Tribolium castaneum: one gene and its partners. The protein of the gene in region 4 interacts with the protein of the main gene of each other region in a pairwise test. Links are inferred from orthologs where the notes say so. Each region holds a gene or a part of one and is shown on either strand. Other genes may lie near its edges. The genes, in order: Mbs, Es2, Git, mitogen-activated protein kinase 1 and Dhps.

The links.
Region 1: the proteins of mitogen-activated protein kinase 1 (region 4) and Mbs interact in a two-hybrid assay, tested with the Caenorhabditis elegans proteins (3 studies listed by BioGRID). The link is inferred for Tribolium castaneum from reciprocal best matches to the Caenorhabditis elegans genes mpk-1 and mel-11.
Region 2: the proteins of mitogen-activated protein kinase 1 (region 4) and Es2 interact in a two-hybrid assay, tested with the Caenorhabditis elegans proteins (3 studies listed by BioGRID). The link is inferred for Tribolium castaneum from reciprocal best matches to the Caenorhabditis elegans genes mpk-1 and ess-2.
Region 3: the proteins of mitogen-activated protein kinase 1 (region 4) and Git interact in a two-hybrid assay, tested with the Caenorhabditis elegans proteins (3 studies listed by BioGRID). The link is inferred for Tribolium castaneum from reciprocal best matches to the Caenorhabditis elegans genes mpk-1 and git-1.
Region 5: the proteins of mitogen-activated protein kinase 1 (region 4) and Dhps interact in a two-hybrid assay, tested with the Caenorhabditis elegans proteins (2 studies listed by BioGRID). The link is inferred for Tribolium castaneum from reciprocal best matches to the Caenorhabditis elegans genes mpk-1 and dhps-1.

What each region holds. Positions count from the first base shown.
Region 1 is NC_087394.1:37,236,289-37,241,250, reverse strand, and holds the start of Mbs (protein phosphatase 1 regulatory subunit 12B), read right to left. Parts: upstream 3,096-4,962; 5' UTR 3,009-3,095; coding exon 2,760-3,008; intron 1-2,759. Other genes in the region: uncharacterized protein DDB_G0286299, read left to right, coding at 3,659-3,684, 3,737-3,986.
Region 2 is NC_087401.1:9,414,439-9,419,453, reverse strand, and holds Es2 (splicing factor ESS-2 homolog), read right to left. Parts: upstream 3,066-5,015; 5' UTR 2,696-3,065; coding exon 2,549-2,695; intron 2,493-2,548; coding exon 2,339-2,492; intron 1,197-2,338; coding exon 136-1,196; 3' UTR 92-135; downstream 1-91. Other genes in the region: protein mothers against dpp, read right to left, coding at 4,177-4,640. UniProt on the Caenorhabditis elegans protein: Regulates pre-mRNA splicing.
Region 3 is NC_087395.1:18,435,294-18,440,363, reverse strand, and holds the start of Git (ARF GTPase-activating protein Git), read right to left. Parts: upstream 3,650-5,070; 5' UTR 3,503-3,649; coding exon 3,445-3,502; intron 3,395-3,444; coding exon 3,261-3,394; intron 3,211-3,260; coding exon 3,101-3,210; intron 3,057-3,100; coding exon 2,870-3,056; intron 2,824-2,869; coding exon 2,693-2,823; intron 2,639-2,692; coding exon 2,464-2,638; intron 2,418-2,463; coding exon 2,345-2,417; intron 583-2,344; coding exon 397-582; intron 349-396; coding exon 1-348. Other genes in the region: Mul1 (mitochondrial E3 ubiquitin protein ligase 1), read left to right, coding at 3,952-4,056, 4,102-4,417, 4,464-4,948.
Region 4 is NC_087395.1:21,097,326-21,101,674, forward strand, and holds part of mitogen-activated protein kinase 1, read right to left. Parts: intron 562-4,349; coding exon 435-561; intron 1-434. UniProt on the Caenorhabditis elegans protein: Functions in let-60 Ras signaling pathway; acts downstream of lin-45 raf kinase, but before the lin-1 gene product in controlling vulval cell differentiation. Plays a negative role in proximal germline proliferation in the mitotic zone.
Region 5 is NC_087394.1:3,355,685-3,360,221, reverse strand, and holds Dhps (probable deoxyhypusine synthase), read left to right. Parts: upstream 1-1,868; 5' UTR 1,869-2,000; coding exon 2,001-2,867; intron 2,868-3,326; coding exon 3,327-3,533; 3' UTR 3,534-3,861; downstream 3,862-4,537. Other genes in the region: MCPH1 (microcephalin), read right to left, coding at 1,209-1,658; TBC1 domain family member 13, read right to left, coding at 4,061-4,187, 4,230-4,352. UniProt on the Caenorhabditis elegans protein: Catalyzes the NAD-dependent oxidative cleavage of spermidine and the subsequent transfer of the butylamine moiety of spermidine to the epsilon-amino group of a critical lysine residue of the eIF-5A precursor protein to form the intermediate deoxyhypusine residue.

The DNA of each region.
Region 1 (4,962 bases), on a different chromosome or scaffold from region 4:
GAAAAGTTCCATCGCCTATGCGCAAAGTCAATCCTTGGCTAAAAAACTTTTTCGCGTATTTCTGGTGTTCTCGCCTTGCCAAATACAAGCATCCTGCTAGAACGTTATCGGGTTTTCTCAGACCTTCCCGAGGCTGTTAGTTGTGTAACTAATACACTGTATGTGAGCCCCAAATGCGAGATTATGCCATACCTCAGTCAACCCCGAGTCAAAATCATCACATAAAAAACCAAACAGAAATATTAAAGGAGGTTTTTATCAGGCATCGATCGTGAGTCAACAGACGGGTCTGTAACAGATTAGTCTGAATTGAGTTCTAGTAAAACACTAGCCCGCAAATTGAACTAAAACAGCCGGTCACGAGAAATTCCAACGATAAAGCTCCACCACCTATCGCCAGAGCGAATCCTTGGCTTTGAAACCTCATCGCAGATTTCTGGTGTTCTCGCCTTGCAAAATGCAAGCGCCCTTCTGGAGCATTAAAGACACATCTCAGACCTTCCCGGGGCTTTACAAGTGTAACAAGTACACAGTAAGTAAGCCCCAAATGCAAGATTGTCACAGACCCTTTATGATCTCAAACTGATCGTTCAAGTCATCATTTAAAAACCTCGCCAATCTAATAATTTTGACAAGTTTTACGGCGTGTAGAAATTCGCCAAGACTTACGACACAACTCGACACGATTATGCCATATATGGAAACCTAAACCTGCATAAAACATACTTAAAAATATCAAGTGAAGACAAAAGGATTGCATCAATGGGCTCGGCCGCTGGATATCTCGTGCAAATTAAATTCAACAAAAACGATACGAACCAGTCGACTGATAAATTGAATGCCCACATTATTCATTACCGACGAGAAAGAACGAGCTACTCTGTCTGTACGGCTTGACTCATCCTATTTAGTTAATTCCTTATCGGATTAGTTCAAATAATAACCATCGACTTTATTGTCACATATTTGCTCAATGCCGAGCTATGTATCTAAGATAAATGTTAAAAACGTGAAACTACACCCTGGTGTAATTTCTTGAAATAACCATGACACAACTATGGGAGGGTTACACCGAGTATATTCACCTTCTAATTGATGAACACACAAGTTCAGAAATAACATCAAAGTAATGGAACAAATCATAATATTTACAATTTACTTAATATCGAAACAATAAACCTTTTCCTTTTAACAATAGAAAGCCGCCTGACATGAAAAATTACACACACACACACACAAAATCAATCGAAAGACGCTGCTTTACGTAAGACAAAAAATATATCAATAATTGCCCCACTTGATTCATTTTAAATTTAGTGGAGCCTTATGTTTTGAAGGTCTTCTATTAATATAATCTTAAAATTCGGACCAAAAATAAACTTTCATAATCGGTAATTATTACAGCAAACACTATTTTATTATTACATAATTACAAGACAAGCAATTAAATTAGCTGTAAAAACTAGACCATTATTACACCGCTTTGTGTTTTACTCAAATGCCATTAAATGCACAAATGGATCAACACGGGTCTACCCTATTTACCTGAATCTGTAACAATAAAAACATTTTAAACGAATTTTCTTGTAATGGCAATTCTTTCATGTGTCCGTTTTTTAATGTCTTTTGAAAGCGTTGTCATCGTTTAAAGGCAGAATTCAATGATATTGATACAAGACTGCATGTAAATGGAGCAAATATGAGCTTCTTTCTACAAAAATTTAAATTTACTTGAAACTGGCTCAAAATTGATGGATGTTGTAAGTTGTTCCCAGTTTTAGTTTCAAAATTCTTTTATTCTCTTCTCCTTTCTAAACAACCTTATTTAATTGCTATATTATCTCTTTAATAAATTTTCTTTAAAAATAAAACAAAAACCTAGAACTGCCCTTTTTCATTAAGATTGTATTTGCTAGTGATTAGTGATGCCAATGTTAAGACCATTAACATTTTCATTTAACTAAAAAGCAGACTAATAAAAAAAACACAGTAATTCGTCTTTTTCGTCAAGGAATTATCGACAATAATAGGTTTTTCAATGAATGAATGCAATTTATTTTTATGTTTGTCTGAAAATATCCGAAATACTTCTCGAATTAGAAATAACAGTAAAAATAAAAGCCCTCACTGAAGACGATCTTTATTACGGTTGACACCTACTTGCTCATTTTATAGCGATTTATTTGGAATAATATCCAAGTAAAGTTGTGTTACCTGACTCACGTTGAGTCTACAAACCATAATTTTACAACATGAACTCATAAATTGTGTCAGAAATTGGGTACATCATTTTTTAGGTAACAGTTACATGATAAAACGTAAAAAATTATGTCCGGGAAATAAAATTTAGCGTTTTTTGCCCCAAAAAAATGAGTAAATAAACAATATAAAAACTTGTATTTAAACGAGTTATGCTCTGTTAAGTAATAGCGTAATCTTAATAATATTTTTAATGATTTCTTTGTAATCATCTTAATAACACTGTTTGGAAGTTGGTGTTATTATAAACATAGTAAATAATTATAACAATTTCCCAGAGCGTTTTTATCTCATCCATTCATTGGAGCAACGGTTCTTCCGCCTTGGGAGCAAACACGGGTTTATCTGTGTCAATTTTTTATCGGAAATAACGATATTTGTTCAAAAATAGTGAATTTTTTGGCTTCTCAGCTGTAGTAGCCATGTTGACACGGGTTTTACGTCACTGGGAAATGGGGTACCAGGGCCACAGGTGGACATGGTTTCGATGGTACAATTACCTGGTGGAGGGCCGTAAGACCATCGACATTGGCAGTGTTTATGTCGGCACCGTTTTCCAAAAGTCTCAAGACTTCATCTTTATCACCCGCGGCGCACGCTGCAAGGAACACACAACCCGACGAAAATTTGATTTTCCGCGAGGTTTGTTTCGGATAAACCGGCTCGCGATTCGTGTCCGAGTCCTCCCAACGTTTCAATTGCTCGGCCCTTTTGAAAAGGGCCGAATTCGAACGGGTCTCTAAAGACATGGTTATTTAACACTTTTCACAACGGCCACCATTACCCACTCCTCACCAAACACCTCAAAGTTCACTCGGTTGCTGTTTGACAGAGGGTGCGGTTGGCGATAATGAATTTTACCGCGACATCTCCCGCCATGCTCTAAACACTAACAAAAACAGAAAACCGCCACAAAAATAACAGTTAATTTTAATTGTTAAATTACAAAAACACAAAATACATAACAAATAGCAATAGAAAAACACAAAACCATGCAATTGATTAAACACAATGCAAAAATCGTATGCAAAAACAGAGTTTTATTACAATGTGAGCGCCCCTCGTGAGCGTCCTTGAAAGCAATTTTTACCGGAAATTGTTCACCGCCATTTGTCAGACGCCATTGTCGTAAGCGTCCTAGCCGGTATTTGTTGCTGGTTTTTATTTTCATAAAAAATTATCTTTATTTTTCACCTACACACATAAAAACAGTGTTATCACACGTCCCGTTGTGTAATTTCGCCAATACCCTGGTTCGGTAAGTAAATTTGGACCACTCAAATTGTTTAAACCCACCATTAGAGATTAAAAATTCGGCGCACTTTTTCCATTACTTCCAGTTTAATTGAAGTATATTTTGGTTTCAGTAAACCATGAGTTATTACAAGCCCAGGTAAGAATGCGTGGCGTTTTTTCGAATTCGAAGTACTCGTAAGTTTTGTACAATTTTTGAGTTTCGGTTGTGTTTTTTTTCCAGTTACAGTCAAACAGCGGCCATGACACGTGGTCGGGGGTATTCTCCACGTGGGTATCGTGGGGGTTCGGGACGTGGTTCATGGGGCGGCGGACGAGGCGGTTATCATAGCCGAGGCGGTGGCAGGAACTTCGATTCATCGTTTTCAGACTCTTTTGACTCGAGGTCCAAATATGGGGGCTCCAGCGATCGGTATTCGGGCTCCAGGGGACATGGCCACGGCCATGATGATTTCCGCAAGTCGTATCGCATGGTAAGAGGGTGTAGTTAATTGTAGTCAAAAGTAACACAATTGTTGAATGTTTCAAGGGTTTTGGTGACGTCTGTGCGCATATCTTAACTGTTTTATGTGTTCTTTTGTATTTTATCGGAAAATTAATATATCAGCTTACTTCGTTACTTCACATCTAAATAAACACCAAGACTAAGTAATCATAAAAGCCAAGTTTTGTAAGAAGGACGAAAAATTACCTTATCAGTAATTACGTAGAAAATGATCTTATTTGTGCTAAAAACTCACTTATTTTGCGAAGTTTTAATTTTTTATGGTAATTTTTTTTGAAGTCGAAAATGATGTGAAATGGCAGGCTTAGCTCATTTTATAAATGAAAAACTAATATTTTTTTGTGTTTTTAAGGTAAAAGTTCATTGTTCACGTAAATCTAAAATTCGGAACTTTTGTCCTTTTCAGATGATTTTCTTTCAGACAAAAATCTTATTTAGCATAATTTCGTTAAAACGGACCAAAAAATCACAAGTTAAGGTCAAAAATGAAATGATTTTCTTTTTTTTTTTGTTAGATTTAAAATGTTATTAAGAATGAAACTCGCTTATTTTTTTTATTTTTTGTCAAAAAATGATGAAATTAGGTCGGAATTGACGTGAGTTTTTTTGCGAAATTTATAATGACGGGTTTACGGCGGAATTAAAAATAACATTGAAATGATAAGAATAGTTTTTGTTGGCATTAAATGTGTAATGTAAACTTACTACTGAATCTGATAAACCCTATCATAAAAGCAAATTTCATTAAAAAGTTTGCTAAAATGACCTAATCACGTTAAAAATCATTTTATTTTGATCTAAAAAGTTACTTATTTTGCAAAGTTTAATTCTCTTGTGGATTTTTTAACGTATATTTCTCATAAATTAATAATGGGATTGAACCGATAAGAGTACTTTTTGTAGGTATTTTATAAATGAGTGTATTTTTAATCATTGTTCTTTGT
Region 2 (5,015 bases), on a different chromosome or scaffold from region 4:
TTTCATTTTTATTAAAACATTTGCCACTAAATTCCAACTAGACCAATTTTAATTATTCTAGGACTTGGGGAAGCCAATAAAAACAAATTACCAGTTTTAACAAATATTTATTAACCAAAAATAAACAATCTCCAATTAGAAAAAATCGGCGGCTTTGTGCCTCTTCGGCACACTAATCTTCAACAAATCATCGGTCAAATTATCGATTTTCTTGATCCCCAGATTCAGTTTAGGCGTAACCATCCTCTTGGGAGTCCCCGGAGTGGCCCTTATTTTCGGACTGGGCGTCATAAAATCACCCCTTAAACCCAACCTGGAGGTGGCAAATCGTCTCGCCGCCGGCGACATGGTTGCCAATCTTTCCGTCCTCGGGGACGGCGTCGCAAACCGCCTTCGCGCCGCCTCCATAGCCTTCTGTTTCCTGTCTCGATTCTTCTCTCCGACTTTCTCAGCCAAAGCTATGGCGAGCTGTTCACGACGTGGGGGCTCCGACATTTTAAACGAGGGGCCTTGCGAATGGGGCAGGGGCGTATCGCTGCCGTCCAGTCGAAAGGGGGTTCCCTCGATTTCGCCCCACGTCATCAAGGGGGTGTCGGTGAGGTTCGGGTGGGGCGAGGGGGTCTTCACGAAGGAGAAGCCCCTGATCTGGGGGCTGTCTTTCATCAGTTCTTTGCCGTCAACGCCGATTTTACCGTCGTGGATTTTCGCCTGGTTTTTGGCCAGTTCGGTGATAGCCTCCTTGCTTTGGATTTCGTTGAAAGGGTTGATGGTGAGGCGGGTGTTACAGTGGACGACTTCTTGCCGGTTTTTGTTCAATTCCATTTCTTCTTCTTGTGTCAGGGGAACCCCGTCAGGAATGTACATTATGTAGTTTTTATTTTTGTAGCTCCAAGTGTCCACGTTTAGTTTTTTTTCCGGTAATTCCCCCTGTTTCACAATTGAGGGCAAAGCCAACTGTTCCTGTCGCTCCTTCTCACTGTTGCCCTCCTCCTTGTATAAAAACGAATACTTCTCCTGGTGCTTTTTCTCAGATTCGGCCAAAATCTCACTAAAACTGCGATTGTCCTCAGACGTGTGCGAATTCAAAAACTGATCCAAACTCAATTTCGGTTCGCTTTTCTCAGGGGGTGGCTTTGGCGGGGCTTCAGTCTCAAACGAATTGTGGACAGGTGTCTCAAAAGTCGCAGGGCTTGGTACTAGAATGCAATTAATACACAAAACACACTTTTTTACACACTTACTCGGTAATTTTTTACTTTAACTACTTCTGGATTTTCAAGCTGAAACTTACGCCAAACGATTCCTCTGAGTGCCCTGATGACCGTACACTATGAATTTTCTTGTGCAAATTGAAAATAACATTAGAAAAATAATTTTTATTTTCACTCATTTCACTTGAATCGCCATTTTTGTTGATTTTAAGGGATACAACGTTTGCCACCAGGGTGTGCATGCGTTGCGTGTGCTTATTTCTGATTGGCTGTTATTGTTTAGCTTCAACAGGTAAGAATCGCACCTGCGTGTTTGTTATGATTATAACACCTTCGGGTATTCCCAGAATGAATTTAAATGACGTATTACACCTTTTTCATTAAAAAGTAGGTGTATTTTTTCATATTTTGCAATTTGAATTTATGTCTCTGTGCTCTGATTGGCTGATTGACGGAAGTGGGGATGCGTTGTTGCATTCCCGCATTTCCCTTCACGCAATTTACCAACAACACCACTCCATTACTATTTTACTTACTAGTGGTGAACAAGGTATTTTTTTGTGAGTGCTACGTTCTCGAGGTTAATTTACCAATCGTGGTGTATATTTCCTTTTAGTTAACTGGGGCGCAGCCCCAGCCTCCGGCCACGAACTGTACGGCACCCTAGCTCCATAAAAAACACTATTCCACGTGTCGAGTTCCACGTTTTCGAGTTTAATTGGTCGTGGGGTATGTTTCCTTTTAGTTAACTGGGGCGAAGCCCCAGCCACGCGCAACATAGTTCCATAAAAACCACTATTCCACGTTTCGAGTTCAACATTTTCGAGTTTAATCGTCCGTGGGGTATGTTTATTTTTAGGTCGCTGGGGCGAAGCCCCAGCCTGCGGGCTATCATCTGTAGACGCCTTGCCTCATTTATAGTTACATTTACGGTTAATATCATTTATTAGAGTGTTAATAATTTAAAAAGTCTACGTCAAGGTCATTCAAAGTCGAATTTTTCGAAAACGGGGCATTTGCACAAACTTTCATGGTCATATCTTTGATCTAGAGGCTTTTTAAAGCAAAATGCAAAAAAAAAATTTGCAAAAATCCAGAAGTAGCTAAAGTAAAAATTTACCACTTACTCCTCTGTGTTGGCGGTCTATTCCCGCTATATTTCATATAAAGTTGCCTCATTTTGGTCACATCGTTTCTCTCAACGGCTTCCAAATATTCGTTCTGGGCTTTGAGTTTTTCAAGATCGGGGAAAAAGTCGCGCTGGATAATCTTACCAATGTGCTAAACAACAATTCTGGTGAGTTTCAAATCCGCAAAAAGGTAAATAAACAAATTACCTCCACATAAGTGTCTTCATCTAAAACCTTCTCTTTGACTCGTTTCCGAGGCGTTCCCACCGGTTTTTTGAAAATAATTTCCTTCTGGATGTCTTTCATCACGGCAATTGCCTGCCGCCCGGGTGTATTTTCCACGTTTTCACCCATTTTTAAGTGATTTTCCACACTGTGATAACTTTTAGGTTAGCTGTCAACGAAACGTCACAACAAACTGTCACTTTCAAAATTCGTTAATTAATGATTAATCAATCATTAATGCAAGCGTAATCGTGAGTTGCGGTTAAAACAATTTTTTTTATCAATTTAATATAAAATCGCACATTATTAATTAATTAGAGAAACTAACCTCCAAAATTTGTGGTGCCCCTATCGGCAACTTTCCACACTAAATAAACGGGCGCCAAATTTGAATTGTTTAGCCAATAAATTGAATGCTTTGGAGTTGAACTTTTCATTGCACGATTTTTATTCAATTTCACTTTACTTGAAGACTAAATATTAATTGGTTATGCTAACATGAGTCCGATAAGCTTTTCTTCATTCAAGCCGGCGACAACGATTACAATTTTTTGGCACATTATGTTAACACATACACAAATCGATACACAAGCAGACGTAGCCAATCCTAAGCACAGGGTAACGTTTCTTATTACCAAAAAACGAGACAGTAATCCACAATTTTATTTAAAACGAAAATAAAAAATTGCACTGACAATATAAAAAGGTGTACTTTTCGTGGTATAGTAAATATGGATAATATCTCAAAAATATACACTTCGACAGCTGGTGCTGCCACCCAACCTTTTTATCGTTGATAAAACAAACAAGAAATTGAATACACAACTATAAAAAACTTGTAATGTAACAATAACTCTTTAACTTATGTAAAATGGACAATATTTTGATTTATATTTTACTTACAAATACACTTATTTTATCCTTACGGCTAACGGAGTTTATTAATTGCACAAAATATTCTTTATGATTCTATTACACTCGTATTTGTACCACCGAACCAGTTGTTCAGCCAAAGGCAAATCTTCCTCGAGGATCACTGCAGGAATTAAGTACAAACGTAGAAATTTTGTCGAAACCAGCTCGAAAAATAATTAAGAAAAAAGATTTTTCAGTTGGCAATAAGGACATAACCAAAAATCTTATCGCGTCAAATGTCACACCGTTGCCAACCGAAACAAGCATTCTTGATCACCCGGTATATCAGCGACCTGCATTGATGCTTGAGAAAGTTTTTAATTTTTTTTTAATATACAGGGCGGCACATTCTTGCTAAACTTAAAATGCTGTCATTTTTTGCAAGAAGGCCCCACCAAAACAATAAAATAAAGTCAAACAATATTTAAAAACGCTGTCTGTGAATTAAACTGTAAATAACCAACAAACCAATAAAATCGTAGCCATCTAGAGATCAATTAAGACAGACACATTATAATTAATAATTCGTTATAATTACATCCAGAATTTACAAGTTTTCAGCTCGGTTTCCTGTACACATAAATAATCATTCGTCGATGCTGAAAAATGCACTTTACCGTAAGGCAACACGTAATTTCCCACCGTTGCATTTGCATAACCTGAAATGGCACTCATACGTCCCGTGTTATTACCGATTACGAGACCGAACTTATGGCATTGTGAGGGGACCCCATTTGGGTCAGCACCTTGTCGAGCCACTGGAGGGGGCCGTTGAGATGCACCTCGATCCAGCAGGGGGTGCTTGTGACGTCCTGACGATGGTATTCCGCGCCCCAACCCTTGACGAAGCTCATACGTATCATACACATTTTTGTGAGTTCGTAAACGGCCTCAAAACCATGATTCACGCATTGGGAGAGGAGTTGAGCAAATTCGGCGTTGTTGAAAATACGCAACGAACAACCAGCCGGGATTTTACACACGGCGGATGGGTGAAACCCATGGTGGTGGTTACAGTTGCGGGATTGGACGAAAATTGGCGAATCGGAGAGACATTCGGCGTAAACTTCGCCGTTGACGTAGTATAGGTGGACCCCTTTGCCGATGTGACGGCGGGTGTTTTCGATGGTTGAGTTGCGGTTTACGTTGCTTAGTTGCCCTAAACATGCCAAGAGCCAAATTGTTACACAATATCCGTTCTCAATAAATGTTTAAGTATTTATCAAAAATTTGGTTTGCTTGTATAATTCAAAAAATAAACGCAAATAAGGTAAAAACAAGTTTTTAAAACTAAACAAATTTATTTTGGAACCAAAAAATGAATAAACAAATGAAGTCAAAATTTTGGCAAAACGTTCGTGTTTATTTTAGCTTTATTTTTTTAAACGTTTTCTTTGTTATTTTTTTTATTCAAAAGTCATTTAACAGCTAATGCGTGCACCAGAAAATAAACTACTAACACTGAGTTTTTGCTGCTGTTTCTTGTACCTTTAGTTTTACCTCTGATGGGCATGTAAAACCGTAGTAAAAATTC
Region 3 (5,070 bases), about 2.7 Mb from region 4:
CAACATCACCGTTCGATATTATCGGTTGTAGCGAACTAAACTCATCGCCGTTAATACTGTTATTGGTCTCTGGAACTTTGCACTGGGACAAACGCGTTTTCAGTTCGATATTTTCGCACTTCAAACTCTCGACGTGCGCTTTTAATTGATTCACTTCCGCTTTGAGATCACAGATGGTGCTGTCCGACGCCTTCAATTGTTTTGTGAGCTGTTCGACGGTGTCGGTTTGTGGTTTTTCGTTTTCTTGAATTGGCGGCAATGCGTAATCTTCGTCAGGTGCCACAGAGTCGTAAAGCGGATCGTCGTCCGAAACGGGCGAATATTCACGAAGGTGCGTTCGATTGGGGCCTAATTAGGGGAATTACTACAGTGTTACCAACTGTGTTTGATTATTACCTGTCTCGGATAACAACTGGCGTCTTTGTGTGTCAATTAAGATATCAAAAACTAGACTTTTTAATTCAGGAGTTGAAAAACGGGCCAATTTTTGACGACCTTGATTTCGCGGTTTTGACATTGTTGAGTCCACGGGAAGGAAAGGGACCACGTTTAGATCAATTGCGTCCACGCAACTCAACCAAACTATAAACAGTTTTTGTTATTACTTACAAAACAACAATGTGTTATCTAAACTACGAAGGAATATAACGTAGGAGACGAAACGAGATACAAAAACGCTGGATTTTCTGAACTCAAAAAAATAGTACGGCAGAGTAAAAATGAGGGCGCGTTTTAATTAAATTAAAATCCAACCAATTTACTAATTACTTGGAAAAAATACAGAAATGTTGAGCTTTGCACTCTTAACAGTCTGAGAAAAACTGGCGACTAAAAGTTTCATAAGATATTTGAAAAAAAATACAGGGTGAATCAATACTGGGCTATTTCTAACATGTCCTAAGATAAAAATACTACATAATTGCACTTCCCACTTGTATACTTTATTTGATTTTTAAAAACATTAATTGAATCAACATTGGTTTTTTATCTTTATACAGTTAAATATTATAAGAACTATTCATCAAAACTTATTAAAATTTGTTATATGTTTAAGACTATATAAATTGTATAGTTTCAAATGTTTATTAAATTTCAATCTCCATTTGTTCTTCAGATACAAGGCTAACTTGTTTTTCTTAAATAGCAACAAGGGTCAAATTTAATATTTTTGAGAAGAGCATTTTTTCTGGGTTCTATGGTATAACACTTGCATACCTTGTTTTAATCAAAACTTTAAAAAAACATCGAAAATTTTGAAAAATGTAAAATTTTATTAGCCTTGGAAATGTTGTCTTTATCTATTGTTAGCTCATTAACTAAAAAATAAGTAAAAGTTGAAAATAATTGTTAAAATAACACTTTTAACTGAAAAAAACACGTTTTATTTAAGAAATTTTAAACACTGAATACTTGATTTTTATGCTACAAACAATATTCAAACTGATTTCCACTAACTTCTTGGCTTTCTGTCTCCACGAATTTTTTTACATTTTAATAAAAGTAAAGGTCATATATCATATTACATTATTGAATTCAGAAAAAAAATGCTCTTTTAAAATTGATTAAATTTGACCTTTTGTGCCATATAAAAAAAATCAAATTAGCCTCGTATTTTCAAAATAAATGAGGATAAAAATTTGAAAAAGCTCTCAGATGATAGAATTTAAACACTTTTAATTGTTTCCCAAATTTCAAGGTTTTCTGTTAAACCGTTCTGAAAATATTTAATTGTATCCATACTTTTTAGCGACTCTGTATAATAATAGTCCATAATGAAATTTTAGCAAAATGTCACGACAGACCAATCTGGTCAGGTGGATAGTAATATTGGTTGCATGTTTAAAAAATTTTAGAAGTAACCCACTATTGACTTACCCTGTATTTAAAATTTGCGCTTCGTCCCGTATTTTACTTACTAATATTTTTCTTGCATCTGTAACCGAATCGCAGCGTTTTGAAAAATATAGAACCGAGTGCAAATTGGTAAATGTTAAAAAAAATTAAAAATAGTTTACGATAAAACTTTTGCATTATGTTTATGTCTTACTATTGAGAATTTAATGTTTGTTTGCCTTGTGCTAACCGTTATGCTAATACAACATTTTTTAATTCATTGCTCTGAAAATTTAGAACAACTGCGCTCTCTGTCGCCATTAACGGAACTATCGAGGACGGTACCGTTTTATTTGTAGATTTGTAGATCGTTTCGTATCCTAACCTTTAGATATCCGTAATCTAAACCAATAGTTGGCACTTACCAACTTCCTCAAACTTAATCAATAGCAAAAAAGAATGACACTGATTAGATAAGTAGGCTATTTCTCAAATGTTTTTTGTTACTTACTTGCTTCTGTTTCCCGCCTGTCAATTTCATCATACACGTCCATGGCTAACTGTTCAAAGAGCGCATTTTTCATCTAAAAACTGAATTATAGCAACTTTTACCAATCAGTAAAATCACACCTTTTGCAACTTTGTGAGGGAATTAGGATTTGATTCAAAGCCGCCTTGTGGCAAAATAAAATGTATGCCATTTTGGTGATCCGGCCTCTTGTGAGTCAAATACTGTATGAACGCATCCGTAACTTCATATTGACTTTCTATTAATCTGTTCAACAAATCTTTATTGACATTTTTCCTGAAACATGGATAAAAAATGTATAAACAGATGATGTCATGAGTGGATATTTACTTTGCATAATCGATGGGTGTTTTGCCGTGGGCATCTGGGAATGTTGGATCAGCACCGTAAACTAACAAAAGTTCCACTTGTAACTTCTGCTCAGTTTTAGCGGCTATATGTAGGGGTGTGGTGCCCCTTTCCTAAAATTTCATTTGTAAAAACTATCAATTGGTAGTGATATTTTACATCGTGAAAATAATTCGGATCAGCTCCTTGCACAAGTAACCGGAACGAAGTCTCCAAATTTGGTGTCCTCACGCTAGCGTGCAGCTGCTTCCCCAGCTCATTTTCAAGCCCCTCGTCATAGGTGGCGTTGTCGCGGAACGTATAAGCGCACTGCAGGTGCTTCGCCTTAATAAACTCGCTCTTGACACTGAAATTACACTTTATACAAGTAGTCTCAAACGTGAGCCCCACCTGATGGCATCTTTGGGATTGGGCTTCTTTTTCATCAATTTCCCGTTGTTCTCCAGAAGATTGTGCTCCCATATGCTGTTAGCCCCGTTATTATTCAACGTACACACCATCTGCAAGTCAGAATTAGTCATTTGTTAATTGGAGAGATAAATGAACTGACAGCTAATTGGTTCGGGTTCCAACTGCCCTTTTGGAGCGACTTCACTTGTGAGATGTGCCGCCCGAGACTGCGGTGTATGCTGCAGCATTGCGTACAGAGCAGAATGCCCTTATTTATGGAAGCCCAAGTCGCATCTGCAATTAATTGGGAATTAATGAATTTAAACTTGACGGATGTGACTCACCAGGGGCACCACAGTCGCCACAAATTTCGACATTCTGGCGCGACTTAACGCGAGACATCGCCACAAACGAGTGTTTATGTTACGCCACTATCACCAATTAGTGTTAAAATATAAACAAACAAATGTTTGATTAATAATATTTGTTACGCCATGTTGGAGGGTTTTCTTGTCAAATGTCACCGTGTGGTACAGTTTCCTGTAATCGGCCCAAAAAAATAATTTTTGATAAAAAACAAACGTTTAGAGACGAATTTCTAAATTTCGTTGCGTTCGTTTTACAATAATTTACAGTCTTGTGTTATTCCGAAGCCGAAAATCTACACATTTTGAAGTAAGAACACAAATTGTCAGTCAGCTTTGCCAACCTAACCAGAGTTAGGTTAAATTGTCAGTGATAATTTTCAATTGTAATTAATTGTTATCGGTAATAAATTGCCGCTTTTATCTAATTTCCGTGACAATGATAAGTTTGTAAATCCCCAATTTGTTACAAAAGTAAAAAACGAAATGGATTATTTAACGGAGGGCATAGCCCTGGGTGTAGATCTCGTGATCTTGGCGGCATGTATCAAGCAGTACTACAAGAACAAGAATGCCATGGCTATGATCCAGGTAATGGCATGATTTGTGTGAGTTTGACTAAATTATAAATTTCAGGGGGCCCCCTATCTCACCATCAATAAAGACTTGAAAGAAATAGTTGAGACACATCCAGAGAAAAAACTGTCATACGTATCCATAAGGGGAACTGTTAAACCACTAGGTAGGCCTATTGTCAGCAGCAATAATCCAAATGTAACAGGCGTTGTGCAATTATTACGAATTAAGGAGCATGTAATCCAGCGGAGTACGACAGGATTTTGGTCGGACTCCGAACGTGTTGTGCAGGAAGTCCACAATGTTATGCCTTTTTCCATTGGCAATAAGGCGGTGTTTGTGGAAGTTGCGGACCCGTTAGCTGCTGACGTCTTAGGTGGGTTTCAAGGTTTATTTAACTTTTTTAAATCACACGTGTCTAGATATGGATACGATATCGGACGTCTTCAATCCGACTGTTCCGAGTGTCATGGACCACATCTGGGGCTTCTTTGCCGGGATCAGGCAACGGGGGGTCCAGTCGACTGAGAAAATGTTAAGGGAGGGCACCACTATTACGGGGATTGGGGAGTTGGTTTATTCACAAGATTCCAGCATGTTGCGGCTGCAGCCCCCATCAAACGGGGCCCCCTTTTATTTAACAAATATGCAAGTCACGTCGCTGGTTAAAAAGTTAGACGGCTCTAAACGAAATTACAAGTTACTGTGTATATTATTCGGAACAATCGGTTTAGTTATTGGGGGTTTCATAATTCGGAAATATTTGCGCCATAAAGACAGACAATTGGAGGAAAGTAAGCGGAAACAACAACTGGAAGAATCAAGACGGAAGAGGCGGCGACAAATGCGTGATCAAAATTTACCAGAGAACCAAATCTGCGTCGTTTGTAAAAATAACCCAATTGAGGTAAGTTGTTAAAAAAATATATTTGGAAAACTTTTTGACGTCCTTGACTTGCAATAAAATGTAACGACGAAAGGAGCAACTTCCTTAGAAGGTTTTAAATAAAATGACGAGTTGCAACGTTT
Region 4 (4,349 bases):
AAGTAACGAGGATTTCAACTTATTCAATAATTATTCATTAGCTGAGTTCTTCCGTATCTCTCCATAACATCAGCAAATCCCTAGCGACAGCGTTGCGATCGATTTCGGTCAAATAGGTACACAAATTTAACTCCAATATTCAAGAAAAGGAAAAAGAAGAGTAGCACTTTTTGTAATAAAACAAGGAAATTGAAATTTTCCAATTTTACGCAGCCTTCACTCAAACACCGAAAATTGTCATATATTTATGAAAAAACAAACTTTGTAGCGAGTCGACAAATGCGACCACCATTCGCAAGGTGCCATGACAATTTAATCATAATAAAAAATGTTAAAACGCGTCGCGTGAAAGTGATGGATGATTCGGTAGTTTTTTCCAAATAACATCAACTTAATGAAATTTTACCACCAATGCAACATAGGAAAATACTTACATTTTCGTGTTTAAACCTTGTGAGTATTTTAATTTCTCTGAGAGTCCTCTGGCAATAAGTTTGATGCTCGAAAGGGGATATTTTCTTAATCGCAACTTTTGTATTTGTGGCGGTATCCAGTGCTGATCTGTAACAAGAATTACATTCCACTTCAAAAAAAATTAAATCATGGGAAGATATGACAACTGCTCCGTCTAATTAACGAGCTTTCCAGTTCCTCAACAATTCAAACTTCCAAGCACAACGAAACAAATCCAACTGTATTAAAATGAAATGTCATTTACAAGCGAGATTGGATTTTGGTGGAAAAATTGTGAATTTGCAAATACGTTCCACTTATTAGGGGAAAGTCGGCAGAGGCTGGTTAGAAAGGTGGCACAAATTTGTTTAAATTTAATCAACTTCGGAAGAATATCAATTCAAAATGATTACATTACAGACTTCTTTTTTCCTTTGTGAGCCGTATCAAACAATTAACAATTAAATTAATTTTCACGCATTAACTGGTGGACTGATTAATATAATTAGCATTACCTAATTATCACGTAAATATCAACAAGTACAAACATAATTACTATAATTAATGTTAATATCTAGAGAATTATGTTTGTTGGAAATTGCAAGTGCGCTAGTAATATTTTTTGCTACAAAATAAATTTCTTTATTATTTATTTAAAGTAATACTATAGACAATATGCAAATGAATGTGATGAGTGAAATTGTTTATACTTATACATTTTTAGACAAATTAAATGCTTTGTAGCCCAAAAAAACAGGCAGAAGTTGGTCTTTATTTCTACATATTCTCATTTCTCATTTTTAAGTACATTTAATAATGTTATTTGACAAACAGTGACTTCAAAATGTTAAAAGTTGCGAGCTTTTACAGTCAACTAAAAAGCTCAATTAATATCACTAGTTTACACGCACTGATCTAATTTTACACGATTTATATACCTTATATAAAAGTTATAATTTTTTATAGATTTTCAGGCGCTGAAATCAAAAAAATATATTTGCAAATATCCGCAATGTCACTTTTAAGAACTATATGTTCTTAATATATAAAAATACAAAAGTAGGTATAATTCTAAAACCGCCAATAACAAGAAATGAAAAATGAGTTACTTTACTTTGTTTTTTTTGCTTTTAAAATTTTCTTCTAATTTTGTGAGCTTTTCAATGAAAAACGATCCCAAATTCACAGCAAATAACACACTTCAGACCTAGTTTCACAAACTTCCACTCTGTATTGACAAAATCCTTCAAATTTTGTTAAGTATATCGTTGAAATACAGGGTGTATCAGAAATACGTGTGTTAATGTAAACACGTAATAAAACTCATCAAATACGACAACTTTTCTATGTAACATTTTGCAAAATTAGTTATAATTTTCACTGTTTTCCTCCCTTCTTTTGTACAAACGAGCCGATCAGTGTTTAATAATTAGTTTGTATTTATAGCAACAATTTTCATTGTTGTTTCAAATTGTTTAAATTGTCCGTTTCTATCACAACAAAAATAGTTCGGCTCTTTTATTGTTCTACCTATAGGCGGGTACACGTTTTCAGTATGTTATTTTTTTCTAAATTTTAAGAAAATTTACGAATTTTTTATTGAAAAATTACAAATAGAAAACATGTTTTATTTGTTAAGCTCTGTTACCTGTTAAAATTAAGACACGTATTTCTGATACAGCCTGTATATACAATATTCCTTAATAAATAGAAAGTCACATACATTTCATAGTTTGGTGATCTGCTTGTACTACATTTTGGCCAAATTGGTTGAATTTAATGAGTTTCTAATGACAAACGCTAGAAAAAATCGGACGGAAGAAGCAAATTTATATAACGATCTTTATCTTCAATCTTTCAACAGAACTTTTCGAGTTTCTGTAAAAAAAAACGGCAAAACAAGTGCAAGTAACAAATTTCCGACTTACTTTTGCAAGTGTTTAAAATAAAAATATTCCTAAATTCATAAAAAATAACAAATTTTAGATCTGATTTAACTAATATTTAAGTCAACCTACAATTTTAGAAGGTATAATGTGTTTCAGATTTATTTTAGCGATTTTTCGTTTGGCTAAATCTTTCGAATTTAGTGAATTTCTCGTGCATATATACATAAAAATGTTTTAAATTTATTAAAACAATCAAATCCAATGATATATTAGTTTTTGTTGTTTTTTTTTTAGTTAGTTTTTCATTAAAAAATGCTCCCAAATTAAAAACAAAGTCTTTCAAATTTTGTGTGTTTATCGTTAAAATATTATGTTTTTATAATGCCCAGTATTTCAATTGACCGCTAAACTAAATAATTCTGGTTACCAACTTATTTTCTGGTTTAGCGTATTTCAGTGCTTGGTTACGAATTAAGGTTGAACTATACTCGACTCACCGTCCAGGTGGGCATGCGAATGCACAAATTTGAAACTCAATTTTTAAGAAAAATAACACACAAAACCGTTTTTTTAAATTGGATAATGTTCCTAGGTTCACTTATTACCTCACAGATCGGTTATTATCTCGATCTAAATATTTGTAACCAAGTTATAACGGGGTAAATAGCGTAATAATCTTAATGTTTTTATGGAAAAACCTAGAGTTCAAATGACATGAAAAAAATATAGTATTACAAGTAAGTCATATACAAGAACTATACAAAAAATTATCAAAAAACATAATACAATTTTTTAATGAAAAAATAAAATGGCTAAAATTGAGGTTTTTTCATTTTATTTTTAAATGACTAACAATTTTTTTTCAAACTTATGTATATTGTTGCTAAGGTTCTTAGAAAGTCACCATATTTTTTTCAAACAATTTGAACTTACAGTTTTTTTACCAGAACAACAAATTAAATCGACTTTTTAACCAGTTTAAACTCGGTTACAAATACTTAAAATGAAATACAAACTGACTTGTGAGGTAGTGACTGAATGTTCTTTTTTTATTATTTATTAATACTGGGTTTAAGTATTCATACATTTTTTTTTTCAAATTCATTGTAAATTTCCGGTTAAAAAACGCCAATACAAGAGCAACAAACTATATTTTTGCAAAACATTTCTAATTTAGTAGAGAAATCTTTCATTTAAAATTGTTTCCGAATTTACAAAAATAACACATTTTAGAGCTGATTTAAAAATTTGACGCTTACTTATTTTGATTTAAAAGTTATCCTAAAATTTTAGTCACGTAAGAATATTTTCTTTTGACATATTTTTCAAACCCAGAATTTATCGTCAAAAATTTCGGACATAATTTTCTGTTTTTTTTTTTGGTCAAAATATTTCTTTCTGCTTTAATGCGAGTCAGCAGTTCAGCAGTAATAATATCCTAACGTATTTTAATCACAAAAACCTTTCACAAGTTTATATAAGGTAAGTTTGCGTTTTTGCAAACAAAGTCATAAGGATTGTGACATACTAATGACATTGTTGTCAGAAACATTAAATGAAAAAGCTCGCATTCTTCGTCAGTTTCTATTAGCTGTTTCAAAACTATGTAAACGCCAACGTCGCAATTTACCAAGGTTTATAAAAATATAAAATAGTTATTAATGATTAGATCTCTCCTTGCAACTATAAATTACATTAGCTATTAATTTAAGTGCATAAATAATTTATAACAACTAATTTGGGGAGAAAATGCGACGTTGGTGTTTACATAGTTTTGAAACAGCTAATACATAATATAAACTATCAAAATAATTCATTCGATCCATTAGTCTTTTTGTAATATTTTGAACTCTTTCTAATACTATTCTATAATTCTATAATAATCTAATACTATAATTTATACTTTCAATGAATTTTTATCAACTTTAATTTGAAAAATAATTCGGTAAAATACTACTTTGGTGTTTTTATAGTTTTGAAACAGCTAGTGTCTTAAAACAATAGTTT
Region 5 (4,537 bases), on a different chromosome or scaffold from region 4:
TCTCCTTTAAATGCAACTTTATTTAATGTAAAATGTTTTCTCTAAAATTATTTGCTCAAGAAAATAAGTTTCAAGGATTAGACAACAAAAACCTTAATTGTCGAAATCATAACAAAAATTAATGAATAAGACAAACCTCTTTGGTTCCTACCTCGCAATAATTACGTATTTCAAAGATTATATTTTTTGTTGGTGACGTTTATTCTTACACAATTATTGTAGTGCTGTTTAATTTTATTCAGTTTGTTACTCGCTGTTGTCACGAAGAGTCGCTCATAAATAAAATCAAAATTTTGCAGTTTAAAAATTTCAATTTGTTTCCTAATACGATTTATTCAGTATTAAAGATTAAATCTGCACTACTTTCATTCTAAAAAAACTACATTAATTCTGTAATATTTTCAACTACTAATTCAGTGGTTCACAGTTCTAATTTCAGTATTGTTAATGTTTTGCTACAGGAAAAAATGCTACAAAGGTAAGTGCATTATTTTTCATCTCCAACAAGATGTTGAACATGTGATATTATGATATATTTTTAATGTCTTGCGCTACAACTGTAGCAGAAAAAGATGCCATAAAGGTAAGTGTATTTTATTCTATTTCTTATTTATTGCCAAGTGAGAAAACTTAATTTCTGTGTTGTACTTTGTATTTCATTTCACAAACAAACAATTTATTTATTTATACATTTTCTAATAATAATCTTTGTTTATCTCAACCTTATTTCCTTTCCTTCCTAACAAGAATGCTTTAGACCTCCACGTGGTTCTTGCTGGACAAAATAATTTGACTAATTATAGCAATCCCTACGTGTAATATGTATTGTTGGTTGCATCTTACAGGTGTAAAATTATGTTCAAACTCCTTGTATTTCCCTACAAGACAAGATTTAATAATGTGCGAAAGCAAGCCAATGCAGATACGGGGGCTGTCGTTAAATGCTTGTTATTTAAAGACACTCAAGGCCACAAAACATACAAATACAGTGCGACCACGATAATCCAAACTAATGTTAATCTATTGAACGCAAGACGTTTAGTGTAGTTAATACATTCTCCCAAAAACTAAAAAAAAAATGAGAAAAAATTGCAAACACAAAATTGTTTTCTGAAAAAGTTCGGATTACCGAAGTCACGAAAAAAAGGGTAATAAAAATTGGAAAAAATCAGTAAGCCGCATACCAGCACCGATAACCCCACACTTACTTTAAAAATAACATGCGTGACGTCCCTCGTGAACTGCTCCCTGATCGTGGCCCCCATCAGCTTCATCACAGCTTTGATGCCTTCAGACTTGTCAACCCCATCCCTATTAACGTCCACGAAAGCCCTCACCCCTTTCAACAGCTCGCCAAAGGGCAGTTTGGGGCCCTTAACCTCATTAGCTGTCTCACTCAAATCCGAAGAATCGGAGGTCGAGTCTTGGTCTTTCTGCTCGAGCATCCTCCTACGCAGCACGGCCGTAGGGCTTTCACAATGAACCCTTCGTTTGACATTTTTTAGAGGCGTTTTTTTCGTTTCTTCCTGGCGTTTGTAGGCTTCGAAGCCACTTTTCTCCTGGACAAGTAACTGCAAGAGTTGGGCTTTTTTGACGGGGTCTTTCATCAAACTGGCGATTATGTCCGACGAGGGAATGTCGCTTTGCGTTGTCGACATGTTTTAAGTTGAAAACACAGACAGGAAACGAGGAAAATCACAAAATATCACATTTTTGACTGTTTACCAAAACACCATCACAGCACACTACGATCCCGCCAAGCGACTTTTAAACAGTGCTACCAACGGGGAACTTATCACCAACTGGGCCAATCCACCACAAATAATTACCAAAATCGCCCCCTAATCACCCCTAACTCTTCTAAAGGCACAAAATGGCATTAAATTATCACGGGATGGGTCGTTCGGTTAAAATTCGCAGCTGGATGTTAGTGACTTTATCCCCAGGCATTGCCACACCTGTGACTAGTGTTAGTTTGATTTGTGGGGTTAGGTGTGGGCATGGCAGCCCCCATTGAAGCCCTAACAGAGGCAGTTTTGCAAAAAACAAAAGACTCGTCGTTTCTTAAAGAAAAAGTGTCAGGTTACGACTGGTCACAGGGCTTGAACTATGACAAACTCCTCAAAAGTTATCTGCACACCGGTTTTCAAGCCACTAATTTTGGACTTGCCGTTGAAGAAATCAACAAAATGATCGAATGTCGCAAAGCCCCAATTCCCGAAGACAGGTACGTCGATAATGAGGACCCCTTTATCGGTGTCAAGAACAACTGTGCGATTTTTTTGGGGTACACCTCAAATATTGTCTCGAGTGGCTTACGCGAGACAATTAAGTTTCTAGTGCAACACAAGTTGGTTGATTGTATTGTTACGACAGCGGGGGGCGTAGAGGAGGACTTTATCAAGTGTATGGCCCCCACGTTTCTGGGGAATTTTGCGTTAGATGGGGTCAACTTAAGGAGTAATGGGATCAATAGAATCGGGAATTTGTTAGTGCCTAATGATAATTATTGCCAATTCGAGAACTGGATTATGCCCCTTCTGGACGAAATGTTAGTTGAACAGAAAGAGGGGGCTTTGTGGAGCCCCAGTAAAGTCATAACTAGGCTAGGTGAAAGGATAAATAACGACGAAAGTATTTATTACTGGGCTGCTAAAAATAAAATCCCTGTTTTTTGCCCGGCTTTGACTGATGGAAGCATAGGCGATATGATGTTTATGCACTCATTCCGAAATCCGGGCCTGGTTTTGGACATTATTTCGGACTTGAGACAGTTAAATTTAATGGCAATGAAGGCAATCAACACCGGGATGATTATAATCGGGGGTGGCGTGGTCAAGCACCACATTTGCAATGCCAATTTAATGGTAATTAAAGTGGCCTGTGATTTTGAAATTAAGTTGGCAACTTTGCCTTCAAACGTCACACTTAGGCCAACTATAGCACCAGTGTTGTCAGCTCAACAAGTGCCAAATCTGAGTTTTTAACTCAAAAAAATGTAAAAATAACGTCTGTCTAGTTATGTAATTGTTTTTTTTATTTGCGTACTTATGGCTTGTTTTTATCGAGATTTTGGAACAACGTGCTAGAATACTAAAAAAATGCAAAACTAACATAATTTTGTAGTTTTTGGCTTGTTTTGACGAAATACATTTTCATTTTATTGAATTTTCTACAAAATATTCGGGGAAGTGCTCAGTTTTTAAAAAGTAATTATTGTAATCCCAGTTACCGCAGATTTTTTTTATTTCTAATAAATTCGGGGTTGCCAACTTAATTTCAAAGTGACAGCCCACTTGATCAAAGAATTTAATCGAAAATTTCAGCGAAATGGTGCCGATTTTTGCGTGTTTCTGAACACAGCCTCCGAGTTTGACGGCAGTGACTCGGGGGCCCGCCCCGACGAGGCCAAATCCTGGGGCAAAATAAAAAAAGAAGCCACTCCTGTGAAAATCTACGCCGAAGCCAGCTTGATTTTCCCACTTTTGGTGGCCCAAACTTTCGCAAAGGAGGTCCAAATCAAAGACAAATAGAAACTTTATAATTTTATTAATAAAATAATTTCACTGCTTATGAAAAGTATAAAATTGACTTAAATGGAAGTTCGGAGTGCCGTTAATGTTCCAGTTCAAATTCCAAAGCCTTTGGCCTTGAAATTTAGTTGGCAACAGTAACTGGCAAGTTCAGCGTGTTGCCAACTTAATTTCAAAGTTAACTGCATGGTACAGAACGGCGTAAGATGCTTTGGGCAATTTACAGTACCTGTCATGATATTTGCTAACCTAAAAACACTTAATATTTGTAATATATCACGGTATAATTGATAAATGCTTAAGATAATAATTAAAACTGATGACGTGATGTTGGAGTTTTACTCGTTAGGAACAGAATCCCAAGACACGTTTTACGTAATCGAGGGTGTGTTTGAAGCACAGCCTCCTTGATAGATTACCGATACTTTGGCAAAAATGCTCAAGGTGGCTGTGGGGGAGAATTAGTACGAAATGGCAACTAGATCAGTTTGAGCTTGAGATAAAATCAAATGGCAACTTGATTGTTCTTAATTCTTTTGTTTCGATAATTCGACAGCTTTCGATAAAATAATCTGTACATCCATGGGTGGGAAGTTTTGTAATAATTTGAGATTGGAGGGAAAGTCGCCATTTAACAACTTGTTCCTTAAAATACTGAAACTTTTCGTTAAATTTTTTTCTTGGAAATCAACTTACACAATCATGGCGCAACAAACATAGATCAGGAAATCAAAACGTGACTCATCTGAGAACAGGGTGTCCCATATCCTGAGCACGTCAGGCAGGGGGAATTCCTGCGATAGCAACAGCGTAATCCACCTAAAAATTCCCTTTTTTGACACTAAAAACTAAGTTAAAAAGTTTGACATTTGTCAAAAATGACAACTTTTACGATATCTAGGTTTACAGTACTAGCTATTTTCATGTCTTTAAATGCGATAATTGCTATTGCTTAGTAATGTCATTAGAAAATCAAGTGAGTAAGTAGTAAAATGTTGACATAT